Macaca mulatta: one gene and its partners. The protein of the gene in region 1 purifies or fractionates together with the protein of each later gene. This does not show direct contact. Links are inferred from orthologs where the notes say so. Each region holds a gene or a part of one and is shown on either strand. Other genes may lie near its edges.

Region 1 (3,646 bases):
GAGGGGTAGTCTGGTGACTTAGGTCCTTCACCCACTGTAAGATTAGAGCCTCATGGGGTCACACAGCCTGTAAGTGGGAGAAATATATCTCAACCCCAGGGCCAGGCCACTTCCCTGAATTTCTGTCTTGAGGTACCCCAGGCAAGGGTAGACCCCCAGAAAAGCCTTGAGGACAAGGCCAGGACTGTTAGGTCGGGTCTGCTGTCCACTGCCCCGCACTGACCATGTTCCTCACCCCACAGAGCGTTTGCCAAGCGGCAGCAGCAGCTGACCGCCATGAAGGTCCTCCAGCGGAACTGCGCTGCCTACCTCAAGCTGCGGAACTGGCAGTGGTGGCGGCTCTTCACCAAGGTGCGTGGTAGAAAGGCCTCCTGAGTAGCTGGGACTACAGGTGCACAGCACCATACATACCTGGCTAATGTTTTGTAATTTTTGTAGAGGTGTGGTCTCACTATGTTGCCCAGGTTGGTCACAAACTCTTGGGCTCCAGCAGTCCTCCTACCTCAGCCACCCAAAGTGCTGGAATTACAGGCATGAGCCACTGTGCCCGGCCCTTTTTGATTTTTGGTAGAGACAAGGTCTCACTATCTTGCCCAGGCTGGCCTTCCTGGCCTTTAAAAAAAAACAACTCGTTATTTTTAAACTTGTCCGGGCTGCTTTTGTGTATAATCCATAATTTATGGTAATGGCAAAAAGCCAACTAACAAAAAGTCTAAAGAATTAAATAAAAATTCACACATAAACCCTTACCCTAAACCAGCAGCAGCAGCTATTTTAGTGTTTATTCTCTCGCTCTTTTTCTCACTGCCTATAAAACCTCAGCTATGTAAACAGTATGCATTCTTCCATAGCTGAGTTTGACTCGTATAAACAGTATTGTAGTGTGTACGTTCCATTTACGATTCCTTCATAAGCATCGTTTTTTTAGAGGTAGCGTACTGTTCCCTAGGGGCCACGTCATTATCTGGGTACTTTTTCAGAGATGGGTCCTTCCTCATTTTCTTGCTGTTATAAACAATGCCGAGGTGAACATCTTCACACGCACGCAGGGATAGTTTCCCTGGAATGTAGTTAGCAGGTCAGAGGCCCGTGGTACAGAGCACCAGATGGATTTCCAGGAAGGCTGTAGCCCCCTCCACAGCATGTCTTCTTGCCCCTCACTTTCATGTTTCCAGAGGTGAGGGAGAGGCCTCAAACTTGTTGGCAGAGGCGGGCATCTTCCAGCCAAGCATGTCTCTACCTCCATCTCCTCTCCCAGGTCAAGCCGCTGCTGCAGGTGAGCCGGCAGGAGGAGGAGATGATGGCCAAGGAGGAGGAGCTGGTGAAGGTCCGAGAGAAGCAGCTGGCTGCGGAGAACAGGCTCACGGAGATGGAGACACTGCAGTCGCAGGTGGGTGTCAGCGCAGGCTCCGTCCAGGTTGCGTGACCTGCCCGGTGCTGCCACCTGCTGGCCATCGGTAGGCACGGCATGCTGGCCTCTTCTGTTACTATAGGGGTTTCCTACGACTGAGTTTCCTATTACTGTGGGAACAGTGATCAGTCTCTGCAGACTGGATTTGGGGTTATGTGATGTAGGGAGGCCACCTAATAGAATGGAACGTTCACCAGTGTTGGGTTCAAACCTCAGCTCTACCACATGACCTGAGCCCGTTTCCCGGGACCTTGCTGTGGAGCTCATGGGGTAGTGAAAAATCAAGGACACGATGTCTGGAAGGTGCCTGGAAGCTTCAGAGCTCTCCAGATGAAAGCTACTCTTGTCCGCATGTTCCTTTCCTGCTGGGATCCTGAGCCACGGCGTCCATCTTTTGAGGATGGAGTGACTTGCGGGTGTTGCGAGGAGCTTGTGTTTTCCACTTGCTGTTTGCAGCTCATGGCAGAGAAATTACAGCTGCAGGAGCAGCTCCAGGCAGAAACCGAGCTGTGTGCCGAGGCTGAGGAGCTCCGGGCCCGCCTGACCGCCAAGAAGCAGGAACTAGAAGAGATCTGCCATGACCTGGAGGCCAGGGTGGAGGAGGAGGAGGAGCGCTGCCAGCACCTGCAGACAGAGAAGAAGAAGATGCAGCAGAACATCCAGGTTCCTGCCTGTTGCACCCGGGGAGGAGTGGGACTGGAGGGGCAGGGCGGGGCAGAGAAGCAGGGACCAGGAGCTGGGAGAACATGGAATTAGGGTCTGAGGAGGCCGCTCCTCACGCTGTGTGCTTGGGGCACTCAGTGAGAGGTGTTCCCTTTGGGCTGGTAGTTTGTGACATGTGCATCTGAGATCTCTCCATGAGTACTGCCTGGGCCAGCATCAAGGCCAGTTTGATTTCCCTGCCATTAGCCCTGGCCCTGGCTAGCCAGAGAGGCACAGGGCCAGCAGCTCTGCATCCTGCCTGTTTCATGGGTGGGAGCTTGCTGCAGGAAACCCTTCAGAACATTGCACCGGTGTTCTGGCCCTGTGTCCCAGTTTGAAATCTGGAATCCTACAAATAGGGCTTGGGCCCTGCCTCGGGTGTGGCCCTGGGCTTGCAGACCTTGCTGTCCCCACCTCAGCCATGACCCTGGGCTCACAGACCTTCGTATCCTCTCCTTGGTGTTCGGACCTGGCCTTCGGACCTTGCTGTCTTCACCTTGGCCATGACCCTGGGCCTGCTGTCCTCACCGTGTCTCTGGCCCCCGGCAGGAGCTTGAGGAGCAGCTGGAGGAGGAGGAGAGCGCCCGGCAGAAGCTGCAGCTGGAGAAGGTGACCACTGAGGCGAAGCTGAAGAAGCTGGAGGAGGAGCAGATCATCCTGGAGGACCAGAACTGCAAGCTGGCCAAGGTGAGGCCCGCGGCTGCCGCCTGCAGCTGCTCCAGGGAGGCCGTGGATGGGAGAGTGTGGTCACCCTTGCCGGGCCGGACCCCAGCCCTGCCGCTGCTGCTTCCTGGCTCTTCCGCCGGCAGCACGAGGGTTTCTGCCTCGCTGCAGGTGCTCCCTGGAGGTCCCATGGGCCATCGTTGAGGGATTTCCTCATAAACGAAGGGGCCCTGGGGAAGGGTTTGTCCTTTCCCCTCTGGAAAGCTCTTCTTTGCCACCCGTGAGACCCAAGCCTTTGTAAAGGTGGCCATCTGTGCAGCATTGCAGGCGTTGGTCACTGTGGGGTTGGGGACACTTTGGTGGCTCTATATTGAGATGTGGGGTACTCCTCCACTGTCCCTGGGCGGCAGCCGTTCCTCCTGAGAATGAGCTGGTCCCTGTCAGTGTCTGCCCAGGGAGCAGATAGCAGCCGGGGAACCAGATAGAGGAGAAGGCAGCCTCCCCACCTTTTGGGGCTCCTCAGACCACGGGAGCTCCAAAGGCTGAGGTGGCAGGACGTCCGCCCGGGACTGGGATGAGAGGACTGAGGCGCTTGTGCCAAGCTCTGGCCCCTGGGCAGGGGTGTTGTGGGGGCCACACAGAACAGAAAGCAAGGAGAGCAGCCCGGGGTACCGCGGGGCTAAAGAGGGGGAGGGGCTGTGGCCCCCCTGGCAGGTGAGAGAGGGGCACGGAGAAGGTGGCCTGGTGGCGCAGGTGAGCGCCGTATGGCAGCCTCCTGAAGGAGTGGAGCCATCTGTCCCTGCTGACACTAGCTGTCACCTGGAAGCCTTTCTCACCCAAGCCCACAGGGGAAGGGGAAGGGCTTGGGCA
Region 2 (3,471 bases), on another chromosome or scaffold:
GCGGTGGCGGGGCGCAAGTTGCGCGGAGGGAGGTGAGGCGGGAGCGTCTCTGTCGGCCAGGGCGTAGTCAGTGACCTCACTGCACCATCACCCCTCACCCCTTGCGCGCGCCCCATTTCCCCATCCTCCCGCGGCCCGCCCCTCGCTCACCTCTTCCCCCGCATCGCCGCTTCGGCTCCTTCCGGGATCGCTCGGCCCTTTCCGCCGGGCGGCCGGGCGGTGAGCCGGCGGGAGCACCGCCCCCTTTGCTCCGCCGGCGCGCTCCCCCGCCCCCCGCGCAGCGCCGGGGCGCTTCCCCTTGCGCTCGCGCCCGCCCGCCGCGGGAGCGCGCGTAGCTGCCTATAAAAAAGGCTGGGCGCGCGCGTCGCCGCCACTACCCGCTGCGGAGTGAACGGCGCGGAGCGGAGGCCGCGGAGGCTCCTCGGTCCTGCAGCACCCCCTCGGCCCGACGCACCCACGCCCCTCACCCCACGAGAGCCGGTGAGAGGGGCAGTCGGGGAGCTCCGGGAGGGAGCGGGGCCCCGGGCAGCCGACCCCCGGGCGGGAGCTGGGCAGCCCTTAAGGCGGGGCGGGGCCGGCGCGCGGACAGGTGAGTCGGGCGGGCCGCGGCGCTGCCTCCATTCGGCTGAGGTGCCGGGGGAGCCTCTGCCGCCTCTTTTGTGGCGCGTGGGCTGCGGAGGAGCAGCCGGGCGGACGTTCGGCGCCGCCGCTGGAATGTCACTGACTGGGGGGAGGGGGCGCGAGGCCGCCGGGTCCCTCCCCTCCACCCCCAAGCCTGGCTGCGGCGCGGCCCTGCCCTGCCCCATCCGGCTGCGGCAGGTGGGTGGGGGCTCCCTCGTCGGGATCTTCGCCAGCCGCCTCCCTGCAGAACGCTCCCCGCACCGCCCCCGGTCCCTTCCCTCGGCCGGGAGCGACTTCTGCAGCTCGTTCTTCCGAATGGCACCAGCAATGCCGGCCAGCCGTGGAGGGAGGAAGAGCTCGGGGAGCCCGAGCGTAGCGTAAACGGCTCTCTGACCTTAATTTCATCCTGCCTGGCGAATCTCTGCCGTCTCTTTGAACGCAGAAGGGTCTGAGACTGGCCGTCTCCTTTTCTTTCCTTGTAATAAACATTTTTCTTTCTTCCCAGTTGTGATTTGCTTGTAAATAATAGGTAGATGCGGTGCTTGTATGGTATGAGGGTCAAATCAAATAACTTAATAGCTTGGAGTTCGTGTGTGTGTGTGTGTGTGTGTGCGTGTGTGTTTCCTGGAACTGGGTCTTTCGAGTCGAGATACAGTGTCCAAAATTCTACCATACCAGTGTTGAATGATAGAACAGTCTTTTGTTTGAAAGCTATCCCTGAGAATTTGATTAGACGCTTCCCATAGAACATCGCTTTAAAAAGTCTCTTTCATGTACTGGAGTAAAATATATTTTAAACAAGCGCCTTGTTAAAGTTAAGAGTTGAATATGTTTTAAATGAAAAGCCTGAATAGCTCAGAAGGCTGGGTTGAGATGATGATTGAACTGTTACAACATCTAATCAGATCTCTTTTATATAATAGATCCTAAAATATTTAAGCCCTTTGTTCTGTCTTCATCATGGTATTTTAGAAAAACTTAACCATCATGGCTGTTCGGGAATAACAGAAGTATTTTCATAATGTGTTGAGAAATTGCGTCGTCATAGCAATTGGCCTTAAGTAAAACAGAATGTATCAAAGATGGAAGGGTGGGGGTGTCTTGGAGCCAGGAAACAGAAAATCTGGGGAATAGCAGCAGGAACACTCAGCTATATGAAGCCATTGAGCCAAGGTTCCGACTCCTTAACTAGTCATTTATTTTCCCTTTCATTGCAGCTAGCTAATGTCTTAGATTTTGAAAGGTCAAATTGAAGTCAAAGTTTAATATGTGCTACGGGGAGAAAGAAGTGCTGCAGTAAGGGCCTCTGTGCAGGAAATTAGCAATAAACCTTTTTCAGTAACTGGGCCAATAATTACTCAAAGGGAGCCTCAAAGTGTGTTAACTGGTATCCAGGGACCTAGATGGAGAAACTGGAAAGGAGGATTTGCTTCATCCTGGACAAGTGTGAAGCAGTTCTTATGGCAAACCATCAGCCTAGTAACTGATTCTCTGATACGCTTTGGTCTTGGCAGTGTATTTTGTAGCCATCTAATAATTGGAGAAATTGGATATGTCATAGGCTACAGTGTAAGCCTGTCAAGCAATCTGATGAAGAGGTGGACATGGGGAGAGCCGTTTTAAGTATGTCTTTTGGTTCCCTGGGTTAAAGTTTTTTCTGCTTTTTTCTTACCTGCCTTCATCCAAAGTGGGGGGTCAACTGCACATCCTGAAAAGTGGATCTCAGGAATAGTCCCCCATGTCCTGTCACTGCGGAATCTACACTAAGAATGGATAATGTGTTCAAGGCTGGCCTGCCTTTGTAATCAGTCCTCCGTGGGCTATGCAAGGATCCCGCTAGTTAGGCACTCAGGTCTGTTGCAGCATTATCAGCTGCGGCTGTACTGTAGAATGCAACGCCCTAGTGGCAAATGCTGACTCCAGGAATGCGGAGGAGGAGGAGGACCGCATAGTTCATCACTTGGGGCCACTTGACTGGAGCAGCTGTGCTGTGAACCATCACCTCTCTTCCACCTTTTTTGCATATTCCTCTTGTACCAATTTTGAACAGGAAATAGTATTTTGTGAAGTAAGTGTACTGGCAAGCTAGGCCCAAGTCAGATCTTTGTGGCTTGAGTTCTACTTTGTGATAATTTCATGCAGTCGTGCTCTTTTATTGCTGAATGGAAGGGGATTTAGGAATCATCTTGTCCTGGGATCCTCAGGAGGAGGGCGTGTTTAGTTTGAAAAAGTATATTCAGTATTATTACTTTGACAAGTGGGGAAATTGAGACCCAAAAGAGAGTGAGACTTGACCAGTGCAGCATATCCAGATAGTAACTGCCAAGACCTGGGAACCTTGGTTTTCTTTCCACATTTTAAATCCCTTGTGGGATTTAGACGCTATACAGAATGTCAGAGAGAAGACACTGAGAAAATATCTGAAGTTGGATTTTTAATCTGTATTCGTATGTTTTTAAATATCTGTTTTCTTCATAATTTTGTTCCATTTGCCCTTAGAAGCTTATCTTGCTCTTCCCCCTCCCTCTTTAGACTCCACATTCCTCCATCATGTTGTCATCGTTTCGTAAACGCAGAGTACAGGTATTTGACCAGCATGCAGAAAACGGGTTGCCTTTTTGGTTTTGCCTGGCTTGCAGTGAAGGCATATTTGTGTCAAAGAGGTTGAATGAACCAAAGAAAGGGGGAAAAAAACCCTGCCTGCATGATGTTTCTGTTAAACAAATTGTTTAGGATTTGTTTGGGGTTTTTTTGGTGTTAAATTATCAGAAGTATTAGTAAATTTACTTGAAAATTTTCAAAGCCTTCCCTTTTTTTTTTTTTTCTTTAACCTCTCTCTCTTTAAGGCAT
Region 3 (3,746 bases), on another chromosome or scaffold:
GGAGTTTGAGGTTGCAGTGAGCTGTGATGACACCACTGCACTCCAGCCTGGGCAACAGAGTAAGACAATGACTCTAAAAAAAAAAAAAAAAAAAAAAAAAAAAAAAAAAAAAAACAAGGCTGGGTGCCGTGGCTCACTCCTGTAATCTCAGCACTTTGGGAGGCTGAGGCAGGCAAATCACGAGGTCAGGAGATTGAGACCATCCTGGCCAACATGGTGAAACCCCATCTCTACTAAAATACAAAAACATTAGCCGGGAGTGGTGGTGCACACCTGTAGTCCCAGCTGCTTGGGAGGCTGAGGCAGGAGAATAGCTTGAACCCGGGAGGTAGAGGTTGCAGTAAGCTGAGACTATGCCATTACACTCCAGCCTGGGCGATAGAGCAAGACTCCATCTCAAAAAAAAAGAGCACAGAGGAGTGGGAAGCAAGTGCCTCTGGTGCAGGGGTGGAGCATATGGTGGGAAGGGGAGGGAGGTGATGGGAAGGGGAGGGAGGTGATGTGCAGGGGGATTTCCTCTCCTGGCCCTGCCTTTCCTGTCAATTTCGGGCAGCCCAGGTGACCAGGCCCTCTTCCACCACTGTGTGAGTCACCACCTGTCTCCTCCACCCAGGCCTGAGTGTGGCCGATCAAGGTACGTGCTGTTACTAACATGTTCCTCCGAACACAGCGTCAACAATTAGTAATGAATGAGGCCAGACCCCCTGTGTCACCGGCTGCCGGAAAGCCAGCTCCAGAGGTGCCATCAGCCCCAGCTCACGGCCAGGGCTTCCTTCCCAGCCATGCCTGCAGACAGGCTCCTGCTCCAGGAAATAGGACCACATTCTTAGGAGGGACATGCGGAGGGGAAAAACAGAAAGAAAAACTGCAGGAGGAGGCTGACCTAAGGCTGCCCAGACAGGGAGTGGCTGTGAAAAAGTCCAAGGTTTTCCTCAAACATTCCACAACGGTCTATAGACACTGAAAAAGCAGTGAGAGAGAAAAAGCCTTGAGAGAGAAACACAGGTGGAAAAGTGATAAGACAGCAACAAGTCCCACTTGCTCAAGAAGAGAAGGATTAGGCTTATAGGTAAGCAAGGAAGGAGTCGCTCCAAACAATGTCATGCGTGGGGTTCCAGGGAAATTTCTGTACAAAACCACATTAAACGTGAAGTCATCAAGCTGTTAGAAATGCCGAGATCCTGCTTTTAGACTGTGTAAAGTGACTAGTAAACGGCAGTTAGCTAGTAGTCGTTATCGTTATGTTATTTCTCTGTGCAAATACCCCCAAGAGACTCAGCCGGTTGCACACTTTCGCAGTCTGACTCAGCAAATATGTACTGGGTGACTTCCATGTGCCAGTAACTATCCTACATATAAAGACCATAGCAGTGAATCGCTGGGGTTTCTAACGCACCCATTGATGACGCATGGGTCACGCCTCAGACTAACTTATCAGACTGAAGAGACAGAGACGAAGGGAGAGAAGAACGTGCAGGCCTAGGTTTGGGGAAGGTGGGAAGTGCCTCTAGCTGCTGGAAGTCACCCACTACTGGGATGTCAGGTGGAGAAGGGCAGCCTGTAGGTTGGAGAGAGGAGAAGAAAGGGGTTGTTGGAAAATCTGAAGAGAAACATGTTGATTTTTCCCATTTTTGTTTGAGACTGGGTTTAGCCATAGCCAGCGTTTGGAAAACCACCTAGCTGCTCTGGTTATCCTGCCCAAAGGAAAAGTCACCCAAAGTTTGTAGATCACCGAAGTTTTTTCCTTTTTTTCCTGAAAATAGAAATGTCGGGGGTGGGGGGAGAACAGTAGGCTCAGGCAATGAGGAGCAGAAGGAGGGAGAGATTCAGTTTGTGTTGGGAGGTTCCACCTTGCCATCTGTGCACTGTTACTCCTCCTTCCAGAGCCCATGAAGCAAAATGGAACAGAAGGAGCTACACCCAACAGAGCAGGTGGCTGGAGGAGCGGCACAGGAAAGCCTGGGAGAAAGCTGATTTTCTATTCGGATGTGTCTGGCAGCATCAACCATACAGCTGCAAACCAGGATCGATTTCAGAGCTCACGGCCTGGCCACACGTGTCAGACACCTATGAACTTCTCATGGAGACTGTTCACCAAGAAGCATGAAGACAGCGCAGGTGACTGGAGGTGGCTCCCCAGGTAATACTGACATTCTTGTGCTCACAGGTTTTGCATCTGGGCAGCCAGCTTAATAGCGGGCCTTCGAGACATCCTTGTCTCATCTAAAGAAACATGAGGGCCAGGCGTGGTGGCTCATGCTTATAGTCCCAACACTTTGGGAGGCTGAGGTGGGAGGTTCACTTAGGGTCAGAAGTTCAAGATCAGCCTGGGAAACATGGTGAGACGTTGTTTCTACAAAAAAAAAAAAAGTGTTTTTAATTAGCTGGACATAGTGGCACACACCTGTAGTCCTAGCTACTCAGGAGGCAGAGGCAGGAGGATAGCTTGAGCCTAGGAGTTCAAGGCTGCAGTCAGCTATGATTGTGCCACTGCACTCAAGCCTGGGCAACAGAGTGAGACCCTTTCTCTAAAAAAAAAAAAAAAAATGCGGGTTTTCTATCATCTTTCCCTATGCACTGCTTGTGTGGGGTTTACCCTGCCAACAGAGTGAACTCTCTAGCATTCAGTTTAGGTTCAAGCACCATTCAAACTTTATAATTGAAGATGACAGAAACTGGAAAAGTTCCCTCTGGGAAAATGGCATCGTCTTTTTGGTGTATTTATGCTTATGTGGAGAGTATGTGGGGAAAGGATAATGTACTTCTTCAGTTTATTTGTAACTAAGGGACTTTCAAGTATTGTTTTTCTTCAGTAGACTTTATTTGTGAGGATGAGAACTGTGTTTCCTGCTGCGGATCTATTTGAGAAATTAGAGCAGTGTGGATCAATTTCCGGTCGCGGTATTCTTTGGCTCCCTGTTGGAGTGTGTGTTATGAGAATGGAGACCAGCATTCCTCCTCCGGAGCCTGTTCCAGCCCAGCCAAATTCCCCGGGAGCCTGGCACCCGGTCTGCTTACACAACACATTTTTAGAGTCTGAGTCATCCTCGGGTTTTCTTCTTGGTATCACATTGAATTCAACTCCACAGCATCCCATTACCTTGGCCTCTCCTTGTACAGACAGGTCGGCTTCACAGGCTTCCCAAGCACCCCGCCTTCAGGAAGCAGAGAAACCCAGGCAGATAAAAGGGTTGCATATATTAGACACCCACTCACCTGGGACAACCAGGGATTAGGAACAGCGATTATCATTCCCAACCCCAGAGAACGCACACAAGGCTGCCCGAGGCAACATGGTGAACCAACTCCAATTCATCCAGGAGGTTTTAGCCTCTCCTTATGTCAACACCAGCTGGCATAGTCTTCTATCCCCACTAAAATGTAATTTCTTTCCTTCTTTTTTTTTAGAGACTGGTCTTGCACTGTCACCCAGGCTGGAGTGCAGTGGCACCATGATAGCTCACTGCAGCTTCAAACTCCTGGGTTGTTCAAGCAATTTTCCCACCTTGGCCTCCCAAAGCTCCGGGATTACAGGCGTGAGCCACCATGCCTGGCCCTAAAATGTAATTTCATGCAACAAGTGCTTGCTAGCATTTTTTTTGGAGTGGGGAGGGCCCAGTGGGAGTAGCAGGCACTGGTCTGTGTGCTGGCGCTATGGTAATGAATGAAATAGGTGGGTGGGTCTGCTCCCTCATGGAGGTATTGAAAGCTGCCTTGATGTTTGTTATTTTTACCATATGAATTTT

What was found.
Region 2: the proteins of MYH9 (region 1) and SPTAN1 fractionate together in Homo sapiens (co-fractionation; 3 studies listed by BioGRID and IntAct, with this or other methods). This does not show direct contact. The link is inferred for Macaca mulatta from reciprocal best matches to the Homo sapiens genes MYH9 and SPTAN1.
Region 3: the proteins of MYH9 (region 1) and ENKUR purify together in Homo sapiens (affinity purification with western blotting; 4 studies listed by BioGRID, with this or other methods). This does not show direct contact. The link is inferred for Macaca mulatta from reciprocal best matches to the Homo sapiens genes MYH9 and ENKUR.

Annotation. Positions count from the first base shown.
Region 1 is NC_133415.1:15,262,403-15,266,048, forward strand, and holds part of MYH9 (myosin-9), read left to right. Parts: intron 1-242; coding exon 243-351; intron 352-1,258; coding exon 1,259-1,390; intron 1,391-1,867; coding exon 1,868-2,074; intron 2,075-2,662; coding exon 2,663-2,800; intron 2,801-3,646. UniProt on the Homo sapiens protein: Cellular myosin that appears to play a role in cytokinesis, cell shape, and specialized functions such as secretion and capping. Required for cortical actin clearance prior to oocyte exocytosis. Promotes cell motility in conjunction with S100A4.
Region 2 is NC_133420.1:19,116,156-19,119,626, reverse strand, and holds the start of SPTAN1 (spectrin alpha chain, non-erythrocytic 1), read left to right. Parts: upstream 1-977; 5' UTR 978-1,099; intron 1,100-2,505; coding exon of another isoform or gene 2,506-2,571; intron 2,572-3,153; 5' UTR 3,154-3,171; coding exon 3,172-3,204; intron 3,205-3,471. Other genes in the region: uncharacterized protein LOC114672723, read right to left, coding at 151-977, 2,506-2,571. UniProt on the Homo sapiens protein: Fodrin, which seems to be involved in secretion, interacts with calmodulin in a calcium-dependent manner and is thus candidate for the calcium-dependent movement of the cytoskeleton at the membrane.
Region 3 is NC_133414.1:26,496,118-26,499,863, reverse strand, and holds the start of ENKUR (enkurin), read left to right. Parts: upstream 1-1,345; 5' UTR 1,346-1,536; coding exon 1,537-1,543; exon of another isoform or gene 1,544-1,560; intron 1,561-1,884; coding exon 1,885-2,140; intron 2,141-3,746. UniProt on the Homo sapiens protein: Adapter that functions to localize a calcium-sensitive signal transduction machinery in sperm to a calcium-permeable ion channel.